Linked DNA regions of Rattus norvegicus. The protein of the gene in region 3 interacts with the protein of the main gene of each other region in a pairwise test. Links are inferred from orthologs where the notes say so. Each region holds a gene or a part of one and is shown on either strand. Other genes may lie near its edges.

The links.
Region 1: the proteins of Mapk1ip1l (region 3) and Dazap2 interact in binary tests that used the Homo sapiens proteins (3 or more experiments, as listed by UniProt). The link is inferred for Rattus norvegicus from reciprocal best matches to the Homo sapiens genes MAPK1IP1L and DAZAP2.
Region 2: the proteins of Mapk1ip1l (region 3) and Ss18l1 interact in binary tests that used the Homo sapiens proteins (3 or more experiments, as listed by UniProt). The two-hybrid records come from large-scale screens. The link is inferred for Rattus norvegicus from reciprocal best matches to the Homo sapiens genes MAPK1IP1L and SS18L1.

Annotation. Positions count from the first base shown.
Region 1 is NC_086025.1:133,592,325-133,596,336, reverse strand, and holds the start of Dazap2 (DAZ-associated protein 2), read right to left. Parts: upstream 2,801-4,012; 5' UTR 2,691-2,800; intron 2,636-2,690; exon of another isoform or gene 2,567-2,635; 5' UTR 2,402-2,566; coding exon 2,389-2,401; intron 1,241-2,388; coding exon 1,122-1,240; intron 437-1,121; coding exon 191-436; intron 1-190. UniProt on the Homo sapiens protein: In unstressed cells, promotes SIAH1-mediated polyubiquitination and degradation of the serine/threonine-protein kinase HIPK2, probably by acting as a loading factor that potentiates complex formation between HIPK2 and ubiquitin ligase SIAH1.
Region 2 is NC_086021.1:187,520,156-187,524,415, reverse strand, and holds the start of Ss18l1 (calcium-responsive transcription coactivator), read right to left. Parts: upstream 2,801-4,260; 5' UTR 2,793-2,800; coding exon 2,724-2,792; intron 2,340-2,723; exon of another isoform or gene 2,144-2,339; intron 1-2,143. Other genes in the region: Psma7 (proteasome subunit alpha type-7), read left to right, coding at 3,233-3,328. UniProt on the Homo sapiens protein: Transcriptional activator which is required for calcium-dependent dendritic growth and branching in cortical neurons. Recruits CREB-binding protein (CREBBP) to nuclear bodies.
Region 3 is NC_086033.1:23,034,768-23,038,267, reverse strand, and holds part of Mapk1ip1l (MAPK-interacting and spindle-stabilizing protein-like), read right to left. Parts: intron 3,373-3,500; 5' UTR 3,369-3,372; coding exon 3,351-3,368; intron 1,822-3,350; coding exon 1,132-1,821; intron 1-1,131.

The DNA.
Region 1 (4,012 bases), on a different chromosome or scaffold from region 3:
CAAATGAATCTGATTAACTCTAAGGACTGTGCCCAATGCCCTGATTGGCCCAGCCACATTTCTGTCATGAGAGGGCAGCAGCTGTGCCAGTCCTGACTACTACTACCCTGGGATGGTAGGAGAATGAGTATGAAGTCATTTCAGACGGTTCAAGTGCACGAGGGCTGAGCTCTTGGTTAGGCATACTCACAGGAATGCTGCCAGTGGTGGCACCAGCTCCAAATCTGGCACCTGCATCGTACCCTCCTTCCACCAGCACTGCCGAGCCAGGTGGATAGATGGGACCAACTGGGTAATAAGCCATGGGGATCGTGGAGCCTAAAGGCCCAACAGCCACAGACTGGGCCATAGGCAGATACAACGAGGCGCCAGGAAATGCAGCTGACATGGTGGGGACTGTGGCAGCCCCTGGATGAACAAAGCTTGGACGATAGAGCTAAAAGAAGCAGAAGAGAAGGCAAAATATTTCTGTGACACTGGTATTTGAAATTCCTCTAAGTATTGCTGAGACCATCTCCTGTACTTCAGGCTAGCCTGCAAGAATGTAGGAGTGGATGACCTTCAACTCCTGACTCTCCTGCCTTGACCTCTTGACTGATGGAAATAAAAGCCTGCACCACCAAATCCAGCTCACATTGGGCTGGAGACCAAATCCAGGGCTTGGTGCATGCTAAGCAAGCACTCTACCAAATCAACTACATCCCCAGCCCCTTGTTTTGTTTTGGAAATGGGGTTTGGTTCTATAGCCCAAGACAGTCTTGACCTCAAGCTCCTCCTGCCTGAGCCTTCCGTGTGCTGAGACTACTGGTCTTACCACCACGCATGGCTCATGAGTCCATTCTCAGTTCTTGTGTGTGTGGATCACACTGGTTACTGTCACTGGCACACAGTTTCTGGGTCATTTGCATCCACAGCTACTACTGGGCTCAAGGGACCCAAACTCAGCCTAACTCAGCATGTCAAATAACAAGCAGATAATGCGTTCAATTCCAATGGTAATTATTAACTTATGTTTTAGACGGTTCATAGAGCATTCTCTGCTTCTGAATTTGAAGATTTAACAATGGGGGAGGGGTCCAAGAGTGTATTCAAATAGTTAAAAGTCTAGCAAAGTGCAGTACCTCTGAGTATGCAGGTGGAGCATCAGTATAGGGTGGAGCCTGAGGAAGATGTAAGGTCTGAGGATATACTGGATTCCCAGGAGGCTGCACAGGGTAGGTAGGCTGTGTTGGATATTGACCTGGAATACAAAAGGGGAAGAGAGATGTTGTCTATCAAATTAGGGAGGTGGCAAATAGGAAAGATGCTCCTGACAAAATGCCACTCTTCCTGAGGACCCAAGTTCTGTTCCCAGCATCCACATCTGACACAACCTCTTTTCAACTCTAGCTTCTGTCTTTGTGGGCACCTACCCTCACATTCACAGACAATAAAAAAAATTTGTAAAACGGGCAGTTAACTTGGTGAGCTCAAGCAGAAGAATTGCAAACAGATTGCCCCACAGGGCCTTAGCTCTTAGAGCCAAGAAAATAAAAGATTGTCTCTGCACCCTCACAGTGGAAGGTGCTGGGTTCTGACTGGGCAGAAGGCGCTGTTCCCACTAGCATACTGATGGAGGAATCAAGTGTAACTTGGCCCCGTTCCCTCCCAAATAAAGGACAGGTCTGAGAACCCGTGCCGGGGATTCTGGATTGCTGGTGTTTTGGGGGGACTTCTAGTCCGGGTAGTCTCCCACGGACTGTGCGGTAACCAGTGCAGACTCTGTGGAACCCACGGTTCTGCGTGTTACCTCACGGGTTGGTTCCTACTCAAGGTCGACTTCCAAAGAGTGAGTGAATGGAAGTTAACCATGAGAAGGGCGGCGGCTGGGGGCGGGAGGTAAACGCGACCATGGTCTGACAAACATTAGCACAGGCACGACTATAAATCCTGGCCCTGAGGAGGGAGCGCGAAAAGTCGAAGGCAGGCGGGAAAGGATCCTTGAAGGCCGGGACTGGGCAGCAGAGCCGGCACCTCACGAGTTAAGCTCGGCCAAGGCCTGTTGTTCCGAAGCGCGGCGCCCCGCCTCTGCCGGTCCTCCATTGGCCTACCCAAATCCCTGCTCTAGCTCCCCATTCGCTCCAGCCGGTGTCAGTCACGGAAAAACACCCCCACCTCACACACTGGAGCCCGCGGCTCCAAACTGCGCCACAGAGTTTATGGGGCCGGGGCCCGGAGAGCCGAGTTGCTGCGGTGTGTGGGGGAGGGGGGGCGGACACGTCAGGTGCGGCCCCGCTCCGCGGCCTGCTGAGGAGAGCGGCCCTGACCGCCCCGAGCCCGCCGCCCCCGGGCCCACTCGACCCGAACCCGCCCGCGTCCCCGACGACCTCCGCCGCTTCCCGGCCTTGCCTTTGCTGTTCATGGTGGCTCTAATCCACTTCCACTCGGCGTCGCGGACGGTTATTTTTCTCGTCCTCTTCCTGTTCGGAGTCACTTCCGTGTCACGTGACGCCCGTCCACTCTGCGTCAGTCGATGCCCGAGTGCACTGCCGCCGGAAACCCCGCCCCCTCGCAGGCCCGCCAGTCGCTGCAAGGAGGGCGCTTACAGCCCCGCCTTTCTCGGGTGCCCCGCCCTCCCTGCGCGCTCTGCTCTCACCTCGCGCAGCTCCTTCCCGCGCGGCCCCGCCCTCCCTGCGCGGTTTCCCCCTCACCTCGCGCTTTAGGCTCAACTCATGCCCTGCCCTTCCTGCGTGGCTCCGCCCTCCTCGCGCTCCCCGGGTTCCCCGCTCTTCCTGCGCGGCCTCGCCTCACCCGGTGCCCGCTATCCTCTGCGTGGCCCCGCCCTCCTCGCCCACACCGCTCTCCCGCGCGGCCCCGCCCAAACCGCGCTCCCCTCCCTCACCGCATGCCCCGCCCTCCCTGCGTGACTCCGCCCTCCCTGAGTGGTCCCGCCCTCACCCCAAGCTCCTCATTCCTGCGTGACTCCGCCCTCCCCACGCTCCCCGGGGTCCCCGCTCTCCCTGCGCGGCCCCACCTCACCCCGTGCCCCTCATACCTGCGTGGCCCCGCCCTGACCGCGCTCCCCGCCCTCATCGTGTAGCCCCGCCCTCCTTGCCCTCCCTGCGTGGCCCCGCCCTCACCGCGCACCTCCTCCTCACCGCGAGCCCTTCCTCCCCGCATGCCCCGCCTTCACCAGTGCCCCGCCCACCCCTCACACCGGGCCCTGAAGTTCGTAGAGGGCTTGTCTTAGGGCGGCGCCCTTGCTCTGAGCCACCTCTGGACCTCAGATCCTAGCCTGTCCCGCGTTCCGGTTCTTCCAGGCCTCCTATTGACGGTCCAGCGCCCGGGGTCGGTGACCTTGCCCCCGCGCCCGGATCCGTGCGGAGGTAGACCGTGTCCCCGCGCCCTGCTTGGCGCCCTGATACAAACCATGACACCGCATCAAGCTCCTGCCCTGAGATGGACCGTGCCCCGCGCAGGCTGACCCTGGCCTGGCACGTCCTAAGGGGGCCTGTAGTCTCCTACAGACGTTGTGTGTGCCTTAGCCCACTCCCAGTTGTCCTGAAGGGTAGAGGCGACGTCTCTTAGGACCGTGATTACACTTTTCCCGTTTCCTCATGGGCACGCACAGAGTGAGGAACCGACGCAGCTGTCTGCAGAAGTTGTGTTGTGCGCGCTCAAGGAGACGGAGAGGCTCTGGAGCGAGAGGCCCTCGGTGAACGGATTCTGGATTCGTCCAACACCAAGAAGGCCTTGCTTGTGTGTCAGGTGACTATCACAGTTTGCAAGGCGTCCTGTAAATGCAGTTTCATCCAGTCCCACACAGCAGCCCGAGAGGCAAGCGGGCTTATCTGAGCATCCCTGCTTCTCCAACAGAACACTGATGGGGCTGGTGGGGAGGCTCAGTGGTCAAGAACACTTATGCTCTTCCAGAGGCTGATCTGGTTCATCCTGGGGACCACCTGCGCATGCGTGTCGTAGGTTCACGCAGACACAAAAATAAACATTTGAGAAGAAAAGAAAAACTGATCTC
Region 2 (4,260 bases), on a different chromosome or scaffold from region 3:
CTCTGCCTGTACACCGTGTCACATGTATCCATGTATGTACTTAAGAATAAAAAAAAAAGCCAATATAATCAGCAACAGAGACACATGACTTTCACTGTGTAATTGTTGTATGAAACAGCAGGGGGCGTCCAGTGGGCCTTCTTATAGGCAGGAGCATAGTGCTGGACATTGGTATACTATGGCCCTTAGCTAGTACAGAGGAAGACAGATTTGGTCCTTGGTCAGTGGTGTCTCTGCCAGCTGCAGACATCTCAGGATCCCAGGCACCCACACTGTCCACACAAAAGCACAGTTCTGACTCCATCCCTCTCCGGTGCCAGTGCTGTCACCGCAAGCTCACTTGCTCCAGGTCAGGCCAGCTCTCCAGGCTTCCACTCTGGGTCCCCACTCCCTGCAGGGCCACATGTAGAACTACCCATTGCCTGCCCAAACTCCCTGACTTTACACCCTTGCTTCTGCAGAAAGCCACTCAACTTGGAAAGAAGTCTATTTGCAAAGAAACGTTATCATTATCCTTATAAGAAGAGGTAGAAAAACAGGCAAGGAGATCCCAGAAGAGGAAAACAGAGATCTCATTGCAGACCGAAGGACACCAAAGGCTGTGGCAGCCACGTGAAGTTGAGAAGGTATGAGGTAGCCTCCTCTGGAACTTCAGGAGGGAAGGGAGGCAGCCACTGCTCACACCTCAGCAGTGTGAGCGAATGAAGACGGTTGTCTAATATCACCTGGGTTGTGGCGAGTCAGAGAGTTAAGGGGCACGGATATATCCGCTTAGGCAGAACCTGTGCTATAGATTCTATAGTATACAGGGTGTACCATGCAAGACTAGGGACCAGCAAAGGCTACCTCAGTACATGCTAACTCACTTGTATGCCACCGACAATGCCTCAAAGTCCTACAATGGCCTTGTGTCTCTCAAGAGAAGATTAAGGAGAGGTTGTTCTGCGGTGCTCTGAAGATTGAGCAGGATCTGTCCTCCCAAAACAAGCTGTTACTTTGTTTGCTTTGACCACTGACCAGCCTTCTCCCAAATCCCTGGCTCTCCCCAGTGGTCTTAGCAGGGGCTGGTTAGCGTGTGTGCGTGCCTGTGTGCGTGCGTGCGTGTAGTTTAGGGTTTTTCATGCTAGACAAGAGTTTTACTAAGATACATACATAGCCCTGTGTGGGGTGTGTGTGTGTGTGTGTGTGTGTGTGTGTGTGTGTGTATAGTTTAACGCTTTGTGTGCTAAACAAGAGTCTTACTACTGGGGTTGGGGATTTAGCTCAGTGGTAGAGCGTTTGCCTAGCAAACGCAAGGTCCTGGGTTCGATCCCCAGCTCCAAAAAAAAATTAAAAAATAAAAAAATTAAAAAAAAGAGTCTTTCTACTAAGACACATCCCTAGACCTTGGCTTCCATGCAGGATCTTGCTATGCAGCTTCAGCTGCCCTTGGACTTTGTCATGTAGCTCAGGTTGTCCCTAAACTTTCCATCTTGTAGCACTTGCTTCAGAATGTGATTACATCACCAAGACAGGTCAGAGTACACATCCCCTCGAGCCTTCTCAGTAAAGGATTCACAGAGACAGGAAGTGGATCGCACAGCCCTACCGGGTCAAGGACCTTGAACTGAAGACCCACTTCCAAAGGAACAGCAGCCTATGGAGTCACACGGAAGGGCTACTATTAGCTCTCCCACGTAGCCTGTGCAGTCTCAGCCTCCTTCACTAAGTCACTTCTGCAAAAAGTTAAATGTGGCAAGAAGTACAAAACCTGTATTTCTGCTCTGCTCCAATAATCTCCCCTGACTAGGGCTTGCCAACTGTGATAACCACTATATACCTAAGGAGACAGCAAGGGTGACCTGGGAAACAGGCGACAAGTGAAGGAAATCCCCACAAGCCTCTCGGGTCATGAGGGAGTAGAAAGGCCAATGCCCTTAGGGACCTAACTGGCTCAAGGGAATTCAGGAATTCTGTAGAAGGAACCAGAATTAAAAGCCGGCGCGCAAGAAGCTCAGAACAGCGAAGGCAAACAGTAAAAAGCTAAAGTGTCTATGTCAAAACTTGAAACTTCCTTTTGTTAAAGACGTCCCACAAACCCACGCAAACGCCTTCTATGGGAAACTGGCCCAAACTAAAGGATGAGAGAGACTGCAGGACAAACCTGCGGTGTCTGAAGCCAGGGTGCAGGAGGCGAGGCTCGCTGATGCCCAGCGGCCCAAGCGTGGGCGGGGCTGCGCTGGCCTCAGGTCCGCCGCGGGCAGCAAGCTTCGGACAGCGGTGCAGGCCCTGGGGATGGCACGCACACTTTGGATGCATCCCTTTGTGCAGGGCACCGCAGTACCTCACGAGAGCCGCCAGCTCGCCGCAGCGGCGTGCCTCCAGGCTGCCTGCGCCCCCTTCTCCACTCGCCAAGCTGCGCGCAAAGGCGCGCGACCGTCGCTACCAGGACTGTCAGCGGAGCGCGACGAGCCCCCGCCCCGCTGGAGGGGCCGCGGGCCCCGGCGTCTCGCACTGCCGCGTCTGCTGCCTGGGGCGCTCTCGGAGGACACCGCGCGACGTGCTTCAGGGTCCCCACCCACTGCGGCCGCCTGGCCCCCGCTGCCAATGCCTCCGGCAAAGTTGGCGCAGGCTTTCCAGGGGGCGCGCGGAGCCGCCGTCAGGGCTCCGTGCAGCGGGCTGTGCCCCGGCTTTGTTCCTGTCCCGCGCCCACCCGCACTCTGTACCCCCTCGGCCTTGCCCACCTTCTGGATGGTCTGCTGAGTGACCTCCCCTTTGCCTCTCGGCCGCGCCGACGCGAAGGCCACGGACATGGTGGTGGTGCGGACTCAGCCCGTGATCATTGGGGTTTATTCTCCGGCTGCGCCCCGCGGCCCGAGGTGCCCATTCTCCGCAGCGCGGGGGCGGGGGCGCGGGGGGCGCGGTGCCGTGGGCTCGCCCGCCTGCCTATCGCCAATGCGCGCTCGAGGCCCCCGCGTCCCCGCGCCTTATTCGATTGCCTCCCGGGACCGGATCCCGTGCGGAGCCCCCCTACAACCGGCCTCCGCTCTGCCTCCAGCAGGTTGCCGCTACGCTGCCCCCTGTGCTGGGTTTCGGTGGTTCCGCCCGCCCTGCCCCGCCCCGCCGCGCCGCGCCGCACGTCCCCCTGACGCCGGACGCTGCAGACGCCAGCAGCGTGGCCCGGGCGGGCGGGGCGCTGAAGGTGAGTGTGCGCTTTTGAGCGGCGGCGGCTTGAGCTCGCGCGTCCGCAGTGATGAGCTACGACCGCGCCATCACCGTCTTCTCGCCCGACGGCCACCTCTTCCAAGTGGAGTACGCGCAGGAGGCGGTCAAGAAGGGCTCCACCGCGGTGAGCCGGCCGGGGGCCTGCGTGGCGGGGTGCAAAAGGAAGCGGGGCACGGAGACCAGGGCCTGGAGGCCGTGCTATCTGCTGGCGGCGGGTGGACGGGAGGTGACGGGAGCTGAACGGTGACGACGTAGGAAGGGCGCCGTGCCGCGGGGCCTGCGCCGCGCTCCCTAGAGAGCCGAGCGACTTTGCCTGTCTTTCCCACTGCGGAGCGTCTAGGCGAGCGCATCCCCGGGGCTGGGCCGGGGCCATCTTGGTGCTGTGTGCGCGGCGCGGACGGCGGAGGCCGCAGGTGCGCGCGGGCAGCGGGAGGCTGGCTGTATCCGGCGCCGGTAGGGACTTTTGGATTTGCGAGCTAGGCGTTATGGATGAACAAAGGGCGGTTCATGGTCCCTGCGATGGTGACAGGCTGCTTCCGGGTCCGCCTGCGCCATCGACGCTGCGTTCTGGTTCCGGTGGGCCCCTTTCACCGCGCCCCCGGTTTTGTTCAAAGACCTTATCGCTATTTGGAAAGGGGCTGCCTCACACCTGCAAGAGTCAGCAGTGAGACAGTTTTGGTTTTGGTTTTGGTTTTTCCGGAGTCACCGGATCTTCGGGAACACACGTGGTTCCGAGTCTTGAAGCGCTTGCAAGAACCCAAGAACTCTGGAATGACCAGGCTTGGAAGTGCAGGCCTATATACTTCTGGCATTTAGAAGGTTGAGGAGGCTCGAAAATCTTACAAGTACAAAACCAGCTTGGGCTTCTAAAATTAAAGACCCTCTTTGTGCTTGTGTGTATGTGTGCATTATTAACGTGTTTTTTTAAAAGTTATTTTTATGTGCATTTGGCATTTTGTCTACATATATGTCTGTGTGAGGGCGTCAGATTCCCTGGAACTGGAGTCGCCATGTGGGTGCTGGGAATTGAACCTGGGGTCTTCTGGAAGAGCAGCC
Region 3 (3,500 bases):
TATAATGCTACCAGTTTAGCACCCGCATTATTTAGTAATATACAGAGGTAGGAAGGGAGGAGGCAGTATGGCTTAGTAGTCAGTTCTGGTTCAAACTTTGGGAGTCTGATGCTGAATAGTTTATTTTAGGCACATTTAAGCACAGCACAACTTGGTGAAATTTTCCTAAAAATAAATAACTCAATCCCATGTGCACAATAAAGCTAAGGACATAACTACATTGAAACTCTGTTAAGTACACCCATTTTCCATAAAGATGCATTCTATAGATTGACAAGTTCACCGTAAGTGTCTGGGGAGGGCTCAGGGTGGTCTTGGCCACACAGACAGCACAAAGGTCACCAGTTATTAACCACATCTACTCCCAGTCTTCTGGGAGGAAACAGGTTATACATCTCCTCCTTAGAGGAGACAACCCTGTGTGTTTAACATTCCTGGTTCCCCTTTGTGTTATCTGTGAGCACAAAGACCTCCATACTTCTGACATATAATCAGTATGTGTAGTTACTGACTCTTGGTGGTGGCTTAAAATAAACTTATTATGTTACTTATTGTGACACACTTTGCAAACATTTTTTTTTTTTTGAGGAAAGAACATGCATCTATCAAGAAGCTATACTAATAAAATCTCGGAGGACACCTCATTAGGAATGTTTCTCTTTACTGCTGAGACAGATGGGTTATTTAATTACTCAGTGTGGACATCTGCTTAGCTACCTGATGATGGGAGTAACAGACTGCTTTAGAATAGTGGCCGGCTCTAAAGTCCCAGGGAGACCTGTGTGAGATGGGCAATGTGTCCCCATGTCCTCTCCACAACTCAGACAAGCTTGTTCTTAAGCGGCAGGCACATCAGCATGATGCAGTAAAAGGACAAAGGATTTGTAGAACAGCCCATGGCACGCGCACTTTAGTCACCTAAGGGTGCGAGGAGCACAGTGCGGTGTCCTTAGGCTCTTCCTTTTCTATCTTCTGCCCTTTGAAATGCCACACCTCACCTGAACGTCTCACATTTACTCAGTTTATAGATCACACCCTTTTAAGTACTGTATTAGAAGGTCTCTATTCCCAATGACCTTTGGTTGAGCCAGCATGACTCTGACTGCACAGGTAATAACAAGCAACACTTACGTGGGGGCCACCAGGCATTGGCGGAGCACCAGCAGGTCCTGAAGGCACTTGGTAAGGATTATTCAGAGTAGGGTGGGGTCCTGGCGTGGGGTATGATCCTGCGGGGCCAGGATATGGTGCTGGTGGTCCCCAGGCTCCCGGTGGCACAGTGCCCCACGGAACAGGCGGTGCTCCCGACACTGGAGGAGGAACAGTGGGGTATGGCCCTGGAGATCGATACGGCATATTAGGATGCTGCCCCGCAATTCCTGGTGCCCAAGGTCCAGAAGAGATGGATCCCCATGGACCTAAAGTACCAGCTGCAGCTGGATCTGTGGGCGCACCGTATGGCCTAGGTAGCTCTGGAAGGGGCATATTTGGTGTAGCGTATGGCCCTGTGGGGCCAGGGCCTGGCACAGCAGGGGCTGGATAAGGAACACCAGGTGGGGGACATGATGGTCCAGAAGGAGGAAAGGGTCCTGGGGGTGGTCCGGCTGGAGGCATGGAGGGATACATTCCTGTTGGTACTGGTCCAAAAGGCACAGTAGAGGGTGCTGCACTACTCGGTGGGAGTCCAGACGGCATTGCAGGGGGGGCGCTTGGATTACTCCAAGGGCTGGAGCCTGGCCAGCCCTGAGGAGAATGGCCAGCTTTTGTGTTGGTCACAGCAGGCGTTTTGGCAGAGGACTGTTCAGGTAGCGCATCTGCCAACTGTAACACAAAATGGGTGAGCGTCAGCTCTCTTCCCCAGCGGTGAGTCAAACCAAACACGATGATAATCCCATACAAACCATGCACAATACCTAGGGATCGCAAGCCTCTACTCATCTGAGGACCTCCTCTTAAAGACCTTGAGATGTTACCTCACACATTAAAACACATTCTTTTTGAGAAGGTTTCATTGTAGCCCAGGCTGACCCTGAACTTTAAAAACAACTTATTTGTATTTATTCTGTGCATGGTGGTTGGTTTGTTTTGCCAACTTGATGTAAGTTGGAATCATCTGGGAAGAGTGAACTTCAATTAAGAAAATGCTTCTACTAGACTGGTGGCCTGCAGGCAAACCCTGGGTATTTTTGTGATTAATGTCCACTGTGGGAGGCATCATGCCTGGAAAGGTAGTTCTGGGAGATTCCTTAACAAAGGAAGCTAAATGTGCCTCCGAGAAGAAGCCAGGGTTCCTCCAAGGCTGATGTTCTAGTCCCGGACTCCAGACCTTGCCCTGAGTTCTGCCCTGGCTCGGCGTCATGATGGACTACAACCTGTGGGATGAAGCCGACCCTTTCTCTCCTACGTTGCTGTTGGCCATGCATCACAGCACCAGAAAGCAGGCTAAAACCATGTGCCTCCATGCATTTAAACGCAGCACATGCATGCCTGGTGCTGGCAGAGGCTAAGGCGGTTTAGGTCTCCTGGAACTGGAATTACAGGTGATTATGAGCCCCCTGAAGTATAGCGGGGCCCAAACTCAGATTCCTGGAAGAGCACCAAGTACTCTTAACCACTGAGACATCTCTCTAGCCCCAGCCGTAAATTTGTAATCCTGCTGCCTCTACCTCTCAAGTGCTGAGATTATAGGCATGTACCATGCCACTATGTCTGGCTGATAACTCTCAATAAATGTGCAAGGTAACATCTCAAGGTCTTTAAGAGGAGGTTCTCAGATGAATAGAGGCTTGTGATCCCTGGGTATTAGGATTCTAATATTACTGCCAGACAAAGAGAAAAATAACAAAAAATTTCATTAAAGACTATAACCATGCCTAGATACTTTACAACCAATGATCCCCCTCCCCCCCGTGTGTGTGTGTGCAGAGACATAGGCAAATCACTTGTCAAGGTCATGTCTAGTGGCTGGCGGGATGGTCCCACTTGTAATTCTAGCTTTATGGGATCCAACACATGGTCTCCCTCTAAGGTCACCTGCACACTAACACACATACATAAAAATAATTCTCAAAGTCATACACCTAAGAAGTCCAAGCATGTATCCTTTTAAGAAAAAAAAAAAAAAAAAGGATGGGGATGGTTTACAGTAAAAACTATGCTTTAAAAGTTTTTTCTCTATTCATAAGGAGAGCGGGTCGGGTCTCACTGTATAGCTCAGGCTTGCCTGGAACTCACACTCTTCCTACCCCAACCTCTATAGGGCTGACAACATTACAAGCATGCTCCACTTTTCTCGCCAGAACTAGGCTTTCCATTACAAACAAACAAACACTTAGCAAGGTTCAACTTACCGAAAATTCATCTGACATTTTCCTAAAAAAAAAAAAAAAAAAAAGTCAAAATTAGTGTTTATACTTTCTTATACGTTTTAGAAGGGTTTTATTTTACATTTTACTTACATGGAGTGTCTCTGTGTAGCCCTAGCTGTCCTGAAACTCTCT